Arabidopsis thaliana: one gene and its partners. The protein of the gene in region 3 purifies or fractionates together with the protein of the main gene of each other region. This does not show direct contact. Each region holds a gene or a part of one and is shown on either strand. Other genes may lie near its edges. The genes, in order: AT5G56710, AT4G26230 and AT4G14320.

The links.
Region 1: the proteins of AT4G14320 (region 3) and AT5G56710 fractionate together in Arabidopsis thaliana (co-fractionation; one large-scale study listed by BioGRID). This does not show direct contact.
Region 2: the proteins of AT4G14320 (region 3) and AT4G26230 fractionate together in Arabidopsis thaliana (co-fractionation; one large-scale study listed by BioGRID). This does not show direct contact.

What each region holds. Positions count from the first base shown.
Region 1 is NC_003076.8:22,943,183-22,946,933, reverse strand, and holds AT5G56710 (Ribosomal protein L31e family protein), read left to right. Parts: upstream 1-1,940; 5' UTR 1,941-1,997; intron 1,998-2,127; 5' UTR 2,128-2,166; coding exon 2,167-2,246; intron 2,247-2,651; coding exon 2,652-2,931; 3' UTR 2,932-3,227; downstream 3,228-3,751. Other genes in the region: AT5G56730 (Insulinase (Peptidase family M16) protein), read left to right, coding at 1-28; c-NAD-MDH3 (Lactate/malate dehydrogenase family protein), read right to left, coding at 216-1,174, 1,337-1,496; AT5G56700 (FBD / Leucine Rich Repeat domains containing protein), read right to left, coding at 3,556-3,751.
Region 2 is NC_003075.7:13,283,659-13,287,336, reverse strand, and holds AT4G26230 (Ribosomal protein L31e family protein), read right to left. Parts: upstream 1,601-3,678; 5' UTR 1,463-1,600; intron 1,338-1,462; 5' UTR 1,312-1,337; coding exon 1,232-1,311; intron 1,064-1,231; coding exon 784-1,063; 3' UTR 546-783; downstream 1-545. Other genes in the region: AT4G26240 (histone-lysine N-methyltransferase), read left to right, coding at 73-123, 227-326; AT4G26220 (S-adenosyl-L-methionine-dependent methyltransferases superfamily protein), read right to left, coding at 2,191-2,481, 2,568-2,699, 2,806-3,030, 3,108-3,158.
Region 3 is NC_003075.7:8,241,228-8,245,973, reverse strand, and holds AT4G14320 (Zinc-binding ribosomal protein family protein), read left to right. Parts: upstream 1-2,063; 5' UTR 2,064-2,168; coding exon 2,169-2,171; intron 2,172-2,742; coding exon 2,743-2,922; intron 2,923-3,071; coding exon 3,072-3,146; intron 3,147-3,230; coding exon 3,231-3,252; coding exon of another isoform or gene 3,253-3,290; exon of another isoform or gene 3,291-3,544; intron 3,545-3,948; coding exon 3,949-4,133; 3' UTR 4,134-4,242; downstream 4,243-4,746. Other genes in the region: AT4G14330 (P-loop containing nucleoside triphosphate hydrolases superfamily protein), read right to left, coding at 1-406, 507-617, 707-814, 906-1,061, 1,138-1,746.

The DNA of each region.
Region 1 (3,751 bases), on a different chromosome or scaffold from region 3:
TGGCATCTGGAGATACTCTCGCAAGTAGAAGTATGAACTCTCTTTCTTTCAATTTTCTGATTATTTAACCCCAAGATTTCAGAGTTTTTAAATGTATCTGTGAACCTCAGCGTTTATTATGTAAGTTCCCATTATTTTTCATGAATATAGAAACACAAACTTATTTGTTTGCTACATTGTTTGTGCCATGACTATCATAGTTTTCAACTTTTGGTCTATACATTGAGACAGGAATAAGCTAAATCCTTCTCTTCAGCTAGCTCTCGTGCAGAGTCATCCATTTTCTCCCTCGAAAACTCGTCTATACTGAGTCCTTGTACGATCTTCCAACTCCCTTTCTCACAGATAACCGGAAACGAGTAAACCAAACCAGGTGGTATACCATATGAGCCGTCAGAACAAACACCCATAGAAACCCAAGTTCCTTTAGGGGTTCCAAGAAACCAATCACGGATATGGTCACAAGCTGCACCAGCAGCGGAAAAAGCACTCGACTGTTTCCGTGCTCTTAAAACAGCTGCACCGCGTTGCTGAACTTCCACGATAAACTCGTTCTTCAGCCAGTTGTGATCTGTGACTAGTTCTTTTAACGGTCTGTCTCCAGTTTTTGTAGAGACTGTTGCGTGATTGGTGTCGGGATATTGAGTTGAAGAATGGTTACCCCAAACGATCACGTTCTTTACACTGCTCACGGGAACACTTAGCTTATCTGCAAGCTGAGCTAGAGCTCGATTATGGTCGAGTCGTGTCAGGCAAGTGATATTTTCTTCCGGGATTGATGGCGCAAACTCTTTTAAGATCAGAGCATTAGTGTTTGCAGGGTTTGCGACAACAAGAACCTTGCAATCATCTGATGCATAACGCTCTAAAGCCGAAGCTTGAGCTTTATATATCACAACATTTTTCGACATCACATCTTTTCTTTCCATGCCTGCTATCCTTGGGAATCCGCCGATCATTATCACGATATTCACATCTTTACATGCTTCAACAACATTTGTTGTCGCGATAACGCCTTTGAGAAGAGGGAAAGCTGAATCTTGAAGCTCCATTTTCACAGCTTCTAGTGAACTTGAAGCTGGCTCTATATCAAGTAAATGCAGAATCATGGGTTGATCTGGACCTAGCATAATACCTCTTGCAATCATTGGAGCAATTGCATATCCTATGTTTCCTGTTCAATAGAAAGTTCTCAATTAAATTAAGAACAAACGACCATAAAGGTAGGGAGTAGTAGATAAAAGACTCCAATAAAAAAACACTGAACCAAACCAAATAAATTGATAGAATTATAAATCAAAACATAAACCGGATCGTTTTTTGTTTGAGTTCTTACCTGCTGCACCGGTAATCAAAACCCTTATAGGATCTTTCTCAATGTTTAACAAATTACACATGTATATTATCATTTTCCATGACAAACCAACACAAAACAGTAGAACCAAAACTTTCTGAATCACAAAAGTATAATTAATTTCTTCTCCAACGAACTCCATTGTTTTCCAAGTAAAAAAGATAATAAAGCAACGAATGAATGTCATGCATTCCAAAGTTCAATTTATAAAACCAAAAAAAATAATCAAGAAGACATAAGGAATCTATGAAAAGCTTCTAAGAGGACATAACCTGATACTTAACAAAACTTCGTCTTACAAAAAATCTAAGTCATGCAACAAAAACAAGGAATCTATAAAAAGAAATGTAGCCAAATAAAGATCCTCAAACTTTTATTTTTGTTGGTTAACATGGGTGATTAATTAATCGAACCAATCAGTTTAAATTCGAGTAAAACATTTACTTCATATGTATTTGGGCCGTAAATGGGCTACTAAAATAAGAAAGCGTAAGAGGGAAATGCCAAGCATAATAGCACAAAAAATAGGCCCATTAAAGCCCAATCATTTATTTATTTTAGGGTTAACTCAAAGTGCCGCATATATATGCTTAGTTCTCTTCCTTCGTCCCCTTTCTGTCTCTCGGCGTTCTTCAATCGAAAGGTACTACTCTCTCTCTCTCTTTCTCAATCTAGCTCAATTCTGTGTCCTTGACCTAGCTTTGAACAGATCTGTTTGATTTCCGGTGAAAAGAATCGATTTTGAAGTGGTTTTTTGTAATGGGTAATCGCAGGTAAAGAGTTTGAAGAAGTAAGTCACAGAGAAAGAGAAGATGTCTGAGAAAAAGGGAAGGAAAGAGGAAGTGATTACCAGAGAGTACACCATTAACCTCCACAGACGCCTTCACAAATGGTAAGATTTCACTCTTTGTGTTCATGTTTTGAGCTGCTTGTTGGTTAATATCATAGGGTTGTAATGAAATTAAGTTAGCTAATCTTTTTCTAAATGTAATCAGACGTTTAGTCCAGAGAATCTGATCTTTTGAAATTCATGGTGTTATTGAATTCATGGGGAAATGGTATCTATTGTTTTGAAAAATCGTATCAAGTGTGTTTTGTTACTTAAAGTAAAAATTTGTACTGATTGTTTTTTGGATTTACTATCGAAATTAGTCTTGAAATGAAAGGGTATAGTTCATTTGATATATCTTGTAAAAGAGAATTAAGATTAGAGTTTGGTTTGTGGAATGTGGTTTTTTGGTGGGTTTGGTTTTATGTGATTAAGTATCTCTACTTATGTATTATTGGTTTGTAACAGCACCTTTAAGAAGAAGGCACCGAAAGCCATCAAGGAAATCAGGAAGTTCGCAGAGAAAGCTATGGGGACTAAGGACGTTAGGGTAGACGTGAAATTGAACAAGCAAATCTGGAGCAAGGGAATCAGAGGTCCACCAAGGAGGATCAGGGTTCGTGTTGCACGTAAGAGAAACGACGATGAAGATGCGAAGGAAGAGTTCTTCTCCCTTGTCACTGTTGCTGAAATCCCTGCAGAAGGACTCAGTGGTCTTGGCACAAAGGTCATCGAAGAGGAGGATTAAGAGAATCAGTAGAACAAGTTTTGTTTGGTTTTTTACTTTTGTTGCTGTGTTTCAATTAAAAGTCTTGACCTTTCACTTTCTTCATTGTAGTGCATCTTGAATTTACTTATGCAGTTTATTGAAGAGACCCATTTTCTTCTTCATGATTGACTCTTGTTTTGCTTTGGAATTTTCTTTATGCTTGTTAATTGTCGAATCTCACATTTACACAAAGTAGATCGTAGGAATGATCTGTGTATAAAATTATGCTAGATGTCGTCCAAATTATTTTTTATTTTTTACTTTTTTTTGACAAAAAAAATAAATCAACTAGGTTTAACTTTGAATCAAGAGCTGTTGATAAGATGTCTTGCGCTGAGAAGTACAGCTGTGTTCACCTTCGCTACTTTCATGCTCGGATCTGTGTAATCGTAGCTTCTTAAACAGGCATGAGACTATTTGACTGAGCTTCCGAACTAGTAGTTTACAAGGCCATAAGGCAGAGACATACAGATTGTAGTTTACCACATAAAAGCCAGACGATAGATTGTTCGAAAACAAGTTCCCACATTCGAAGAAGAAATACAAAAAACCATACTCTTAGATCATTTTCAAGTTTCTATTGTGAAGCATATCTCATAAAACTCAAATTCCATGATACCGTTCTGGTCTGCTTAAGATTGATGAAGATTTCAAGCAACGAGCATGTTTGAAGATATAACTCAAGAAATCCCTCTCTTCAGGTGTTCCTATGTAACCTGCAAACTCAAAAGTTTCAAGACTCTCCAACAAACATTTCGGGACGGAGCTCTTATTATTTTTCCAGCGAACCGGTTCATAA
Region 2 (3,678 bases), 5.0 Mb from region 3:
GACATTTCTTGTCTATTCCTTCCATTCGTGCTCTTTGTAAATTTATGCTTATAAATCTCACCCGTGTTCTAGGCTTCCGAAATTCCGGTGGGATGCTATCTGGCTTCCGTTTGGGCCGCTTTGGTATGTGTATCTATCGCTTAGATATAACCTTGTGTTGTTTTATATGCCCCTGTGTATGTAAAACTAAAGTTTGCATCAACTTTTCTGTACTTCGAAATTGCAGTGGAGCTGGAATTTGTCTATACGTGGACCATCTTCTAGAGGAGTCATCTGAGGAAGTGAAAAAACTGAGGAACTATATGTATGCATATAAAGCACGGTAGAGAGATAATAGCTACTTTCAAACCTCGTCAGAGTGAATTTGTGATAGCAAGAGTGCAAGTTTTGACTCTATTATCCCCTAAAGAACATTCTTCTGTTGTTGTAAATAGATACGAAACTCTGAAGTTCGTTTTGTTTAAAAACTCATGATTGACTCGAACTAGATTCCAGTTCATACATGTAATACTCTTGATTTATTCAAGCAATTCACTTGAGAGAGGTGCATAAACTTATTCATAGCTGCAGATATTATCATGATCGAACCAGATGCTCAAACTTTACCGAAACAAGTGTAAGGATTGTTGAAGACTACTTACGACACAAGACTGAGATTCTGTCTCAATCGCATACTATGATTCAAGGCTTAAGGATTCAAGAAGATAAATGTTCTCTCCAATAAAGATTCGAAAAACAAAACTCGAAAAATCTGATCAAATGTTGTTGTTACTATAAGATAGTTTAATCCTCTTCTTCAATGATCTTAGTGCCGAGGCCAGAGAGTCCTTCAGCAGGGATTTCAGCAACAGTGACAAGAGAGAAGAACTCTTCCTTTGCATCTTCATCATCATTTCTCTTACGAGCAACTCGGACTCTGATTCTCCTCGGAGGACCTCTGATACCTTTGCTCCAAATCTGCTTGTTCAATTTAACATCCACTCTCACATCCTTTGTCCCCATTTCCTTCTCAGCAAACTTCCTTATCTCCTTGATCGCCTTTGGAGCCTTCTTCTTAAAGGTACTAGTTTTACACACAAAGAAGATCAAACATTTCAATGTCACAATCCATAGAGAGCAATCGAATTAAAACATTAGCTAAGAGCTCATTATCAACATTCCAATTCCACTATCTAACAGTAAAAGCTTTGAAGCAATAAGACAAAAGTGTTTTTGGTGTTTTGGAAATTACCAGCTATGAAGGCGTCTGTGAAGGTTGATGGTGTACTCTCTGGTCACCACCTCCTCTTTCCTTCCCTTCTTCTCCGACATTTTATGTTTCTATCTTCTCTCTTTACCTGAATATATCAAAACTCAAATTCAGTTTTGACATATGATCTTAAAGACGAGATTAGCTCATTTTACTTTGTCACAAATTTTAAAAAAGGAGATTAAGATAAGAAAGAGAAAGGGATGAGAGTACCTTCTTCTCTCCACAAATGCCGAAATACAGAGCCGGTGGTGACGGAGAAGGATGAAGCTTATATGCGGCGCTCTATAAGAAGAAGAACTAACCCTAGTTGATTTTATGGGCCTTTCATCTACTAGACCTATATTTTTATGGCCCAACTAAGTGTTTCTTAACTCAAAAAAAAAAAAAAGAGTTCCTTTATATTGTGATTAACGTCTAACGATTTTTAACATTTGATAATTTAACTTTGGATAGTTTTTTTCTTATTTTTGAACAAACGTTGGATTTTTTAACTTTGGGTGAAAATATCTTGTTCTGTTTACTGTTTATATCACAAAACTAAATTATTTAATATACATTGTATTAAAAGCTAGCAAACTATATATCAATGTGGGCGTTTGGTCTAGTGGTATGATTCTCGCTTTGGGTGCGAGAGGTCCCGAGTTCGATTCTCGGAACGCCCCATTCATTTTTTTACTTTTTATATTAGATTTTAGAGCAATGTTCAGAATTTGGAGTTTTGCCAAAAGACACAAAACATAAAATGAGTTGTGTTTCTTCGTAACTGTCTGTTATAATCTTGAAATTTGAAGAAATCCACAAACTTGATAGAAAAGGTTCACATTCACACAGGAACCAAAATATCACATAGAACAATAACACTCTTGCATCACAATAGCTCAATATAAAGGGCTCACAATCATATGACCCTAAAGATCACAAAGAACAACAATACTCGCTCAATATAACCTCCTGCAAATAGTGATACCATCGCCAAGCGCAGCTTGCGAGATCTGCACACGCTGATCAGCCGAGAGTTTCTTGTTCAGCTCGAGGGTTGCTTTCTTGACTTCTATCCTCCACTCGGGCGTGGACGAGTCCGGTTCAGCAACTGATCCTCCCCAGAGAGTGTTATCATACACTATGATCCCACCAACCTTGATCAATCTAATAAGCCTCTCATGATAGTTCCAATAATTCAGCTTGTCTGCATCCACAAATGCGAAGTCGAATCCACCCTCATTCACTTTCTGCATCACAAACATCAAAACAAAAAGACCATCTCAGGATACATACTAATTCTTTTTTTGAAAGACAAAGAAGTATGAAGTTGTACATTGTTTAAAAGCTCGTCGAGGGCTGGAAGAGCTTCAGACTCTTTGAAATCAATTTTGTGTTCAACACCAGCTTTCTTTATAACCGGCAATCCTATTTCATACGAGTCTCTATTCATGTCAATGGCGATAACCTGCAGAGCTCGTGTACCAAATCAGTTGCAGAAATGATACAGAAGCAAAACAACGAAAAACATCATGACACTTTTTCTTTTGGTTTGGTCATATCTATGCAAATACCTTGCCATCTTCTGGTAGCGTAAGAGCAGTGAGGAGAAGAGAGTATCCAGTGAAAACCCCAACCTCGATAGTCTTTCTTGCATTTACCAGATTCAGCAGCATCCCCATCAACTGGCCAGCGTCTGGTGCAGTAGCCATACCAGCTTGAGGGTGGTTATGAGTAATGTTCCTAAGCTCCCTGAGAACCTCTGGCTCGCGTGGGTACACACTAGTCTCCAGTATATACTACAACATTTTTCACAGAAATGTATCAGAGAAATGGAGAAGTGAACTAACGTAGAGATGAGTATGTAAGGACAAACTTTATAGAGCTCTTCACTTTTCAGCAATCCCTTGGCTTCATCCTTAGCCATTGTGTCTCACAATCTTCGTTCCTCAAACACTGTAAAGTCTCTGCTCAAGGAAAAAAGCATATATTAAATAGCCATGCTAATTCATATAATCTTTGCTTGCATAACTGAAGAAAACTACTACTGGTTCTTTATTGATTATGGGTTGCTGCAGTTTACAACTTTTTTCTGAAAGTGTAGATCTTTCAAGTTTTCAAGGAAAACAGCTTTAAACACTATAAGCTTTGCCTTGATAAAAGGCGTGTAGATTTTATCTGATTTTATCTTATCCAATTGCTTGATTCTTAGAACTAACTTCTTCAAAAACCAATTGATTGAGCATACAGTTGACTTATGAATCAAGTTTATGTTCACTATCAAAACACTCATAAAAAAAAAGAACAACTACAAAACTAACGATCCAAAATGATCACAAAAATGTTACAAAGAGAAGACTTATAGTGAGGACCGGTCGAGAGAGAGAGAGGAGAATACCAGATGACTGAAGTCTTAGTTTCCGATCATCCACTACAATCTGGTGTGA
Region 3 (4,746 bases):
GTTCCGACTTCAAAAGCTGGGTTCTCTCGTTTACTTTCTCTTTTATCTCCTCTTCATTGGTAGCACAAGCTTCCCTCTGTGTTAAAAGAGATCTTAAAGCAGCAACTTCCTCTTCCTTCTTCTTCAGCTGCTTTTGTGCCTCATTCCTTTCTTTTTCTTTTTGCTTCTTCTCAGACTGGAGTTTGATAATGAACTCATCCATGGCAGCTATTCTTGATCCCAAAATCACAGCAGAAGCAGACTCATCACCCCCATACTTATCTTTGTTTGGAGTATGAGACCCACGAACTATGCACTTTGCTTTTGCCCCATACTCTAGAGTACAGAGAGTCTTGTGCATTTCCTTTGGATCCGGGCTCGCACACAGGATCATTAGAATCTTTGACTTGTCATCTTCAAAAGAGTCCTGCATTCAGAGAATAGAAACAACACTAAATATCTTCAAGAAAACCAAGCAACACGTAAAACATTTTCCAGAAGATAAAACAATGGAACAAGAATTTCACCTGGAGAAGCATGGTCAGCTTGCTGTCTCTAAAGGGTACATGAGAATCTCCATTTGCTATAGATTCCACAACTCGCTTCAGTGCAATATTTCCCTGGTTGATCTTAGCAGTCTGTTGAATAATGAGAGATATAAGTCAGTTGATATCCATAACTACAATAACTTTAGTAGAATCAAACAAATTGAGAGAGGAAACATTACTTGCATCTTAGCTTCAAATCCAGTCTGCCCAGCTTGGTCTATATTTTCAGAACCAGCCATGTCAACAAGCATCAATCTTCCCCCAACAGTTGGCACATCAAGTATGATCTACAAAAAGAAACAACCACACTAGTAAGTTAAAACAGAGATAAGCTGCATAAAGCTATGCATACACATCAATCAAGAAGATCGTTCTTACAATGCAGTGACTCCGAGAACTTCTTTCGTTACAAAGTGTACTCTTCACAATTCTCCGTTTCTCCACTTTGACAATTTCTTTAGAAATCTTCCCAGCCTCTGTCCCAGAAATAAAACTTGCGTTTTTCGCCTTTTTCCCCATTACTTCAAGCCTCACCTGTAACAAAACAACAAAGTACACACCTTTAAAGCCAATTCAATGTATACTAAAGTTATCAATCAAGAAACTTTACCTTAGTGCTTGCTCCTTTAGGCCAACCAATACCTAAATTGTTACTACTATTAGTCGAAAGAAGATCATAAATCTCCTCATTATAAACCTCAAGAACAGTAACTTGAACAAAAGTAACACCATCTTGATCAGAATCTCCCAATATATCTCTCAAAGAACGATACACAATCCCAGGCTCTTTCCCACAACCAAACATAGTATGACTCTTTCCAGCACCAGTAGGTCCATACATCATAATCGTGCATTTATTCCCAACTTTCACTCCTTTAATCCTCTCTTCTATAAACTTCTTGTAGAACTCTTCAAGACCTTCTTGCTCCGAGAAAGAAACACCGTCGAGTGTGAAGTCTCTGTACCCAACATCAGCTCTGACTCGTACCGTTTGATTATCTGTGTTGACTTGTAAGATCGAAGGTGATTTCTCTTTCCGGTCAGGGTAATCTCGGATCCGGCCGATTACTTCAACTGGATGCTCCGGTGGAGATGGATCTTTAGATCCGTCTGGGTTTGGGGTTTTTGAGTGGAAATTGAGACGTTGTTTTGTTTGTGGAGTTCTGATTAAGGTGTATTGAGTTTGATTTGATCTTGAAGAAGATGGTGTCGGTGCCATTGTTGAAGAAGTTTCGAAAGAGTGAAATTGAAATTGAGATTCAGAGAGCGTTAGAGAGAGAGAAAATGAAAAAGGGGATTAGGGTTTGTGAGTGATTCACGAGGTTTGAAGTTTGAAACAAAGAAACAAACATAACCGTTGTGTTGTATCTCTAAACGGCTAGTTTTTGTCCACGGGCCACTGATTATTAACAATTTTTATTTTCGGCAACTAGAATATATTTACTTTCTTTTAAAAAAGGGAAGTGAGATGGGCCTGACTTTTTGATTAAGTTAATGGGCTTTTTGTGTTTATAGAGGCCCAATGTTTGTAGTATTAGGGTTTTCTCAAATGTCTCTCTTATAAGCTCTGTTACTTTAGGTTTTTATTAAAGGTTTTGCGGCAGTGGAAGACGACGGCACGAGCTTCACCGAAGAGCGAAAATGGTGACTCTCTTCTCTTTCTTTATTTCTGCTAAATTTCTCCTTGGTTACTATTGAAGAACGAGATTATTGATTATAGATCTGCTGTGTGATTTTTCTTCTTCTTTAAGTTGTTTATTTCTGATTTTGCATCTTAAATCGAGAATTATTAGAGTCTAATTGTGATTTTTAGAATCTGTTATGTTGCATTCTGTGTTGTAAATTCGAAGATTCAGTTCACTTCGTCTCTGTGAAGAGTTTTAGCTCCAATCTACCAGAGATTCAAAATGATATAGTGTTATGTATCTTCATTTGTGTTGCTGCAATTCTGTTCTGATTTTTAGGAGAATTAAGAAGGATTTGTACTTCAGGGACTTGTAGGATTCACAAAATGGTTATCAATATTGACTAGTTGAGTAGTCAGATCGTATGGTAGCAATTAATTCTGAATGATTTAGGAGAAGCAGGAAATTTTATTAACAAGTTTTAGGGTTTGTTCTGAAGGGCGTATTTAGATTCACTTCTATGATCGTAATTAATTCTGTATGCTGTTGAAACTGTATCTTGTGGTAGTTTTAAACTTGGTTTTCTGTAGGTGAACATTCCGAAAACTAAGAACACTTACTGCAAGAACAAGGAGTGCAAGAAGCATACCTTGCACAAGGTGACGCAGTATAAGAAAGGTAAAGATAGCCTTGCTGCCCAAGGAAAGCGTCGTTATGATCGTAAACAATCTGGTTATGGAGGTCAGACCAAGCCCGTCTTCCACAAGAAGGTATACTCGCTTTTCCTTGTCTTGATCTCTAATTACTGTCTTCTATGTGAGAACCAATTTAGGATTTCAGAATTGACTCTGTGAAATATGTCTTATAGGAATGATTTGTTAATTGGACCTTGCTCATTATTTGTCTTTCTTTGGAACAGGCTAAGACAACTAAGAAGATTGTGCTGAGGCTTCAATGCCAAAGCTGCAAGCATTTCTCGCAACGCCCGATTAAGGTAATGTCTGCGACATTCTTTACCTTTGTTAATCACTCTTTAGTCTCAGTTCTGTTTCTTACACTTTGTGTGTGGTTTTTGCAGAGGTGCAAGCACTTTGAGATCGGTGGAGACAAGAAGGGAAAGGGAACATCTCTCTTTTAAGTTGTTGTTTCATCTATCTACTTTTTTTTGTTTTGTTTGGTACCTGTCCTGCTTCAATACTGTGATATACTTTGAATCTACCAGAAATGGTCCTGGTTTTTAATTTAAATAGGACTTGGTCTTATGGATGTCTTTTAATTTGGTTAACCAATCTTTCTTCATTAGGCTGCCCTTGAGTATTCTCTATAACTTGCGACAAAGTAGACATAACACTCTTTAAGTTCTAAAAACCACTTTCTATTTTCGGATCTCGAAAAATCATTTATCGTTTTGTGCTGCAAATCAGTGTTATATATGAGCTTGGCAAATTAAAATGACATATACGTATAGAAATGAATTGATAATACTAAATATTATTTGTTTTCTTCTTTTAACTTCAGCCATACTAACTTTCACTAAATTTCTTAAGAGCATACAGAAGTTTCTCCTCGGTATATTGGTGGTTCTATATTCCCCGCAACGTGAATGGAAAATGAAGGTTCTATTTTGGCTATATGATAATCATGCCATTAGCTGACCCGAAACTAATGTGTTACAATAAAACCAAATTATATAAATAGAAGAACATGTTTCCTGGCTCCTTATTGCACAAAAGAGAACATGAACAACTCTTTTTATATTACCATGATAGTCCTATGTGTTTTGGCCTTTGTGTTAGTTTTAATTGAGAGCTGTGCGGGCAAAATGGTAGATGAGATGATATTCTCTTGTGTCTGCTGTGGTGGTCCTGGCTGCTGTGGTGATAGAGGAGAAGGACCTGTTGGTGGTGGTATTGACAATGAACCGGTGAATGTAGTAGTGGTGGTGGTGGAGCCAGGCAGCCAGCGGCGGAAGATGTGGTGACGGTCAAGGATGCTACTTCAGTTTTTCTTTTTTTACTTTATTATACTTAGATTCTGGTACTATATATATTATGGGTATAGATAATTTACACTAAAGTTTTATTTCCGTTATTTAAAATTCGTGTTTTATTTAATCTCTAATTTTCTGTTTCCAAGTCGAATTCCTCTGTACTAATTATACGGCCTTTTAATTTTACAATATGAATAGCCATTTTCTACTAACACATTCTTACCTTTTAGAGGTGTTAATTTTAAGGTAAGTTTCTTCTCTACAATTACGTAATATCATTCAAATCTGTTCATGCTGACAAAAGTTAGGTACTTTTGTGTATATTTCTCGATCATTGACATTGTCTACTACGCTAATATCTAAGGAAAGTGGCATCGATTCTACTTGCTTGTAAAACATACATCGCGATGTAAGTCAAATTCTCTAATAATGTAAGAAACGAAGTGAGAAAGAAAGATAAATCCAAAAAATTTACTTGCAAATCAATAGAGATCCAAACCAACTGCGCATGCGTTAGTCAATTGATATATTGTATATAATAGAACAAATACAATTTTTGTTTTTATAAATGTATAACCAAAAACGTAAGAGCAATACTATCGAA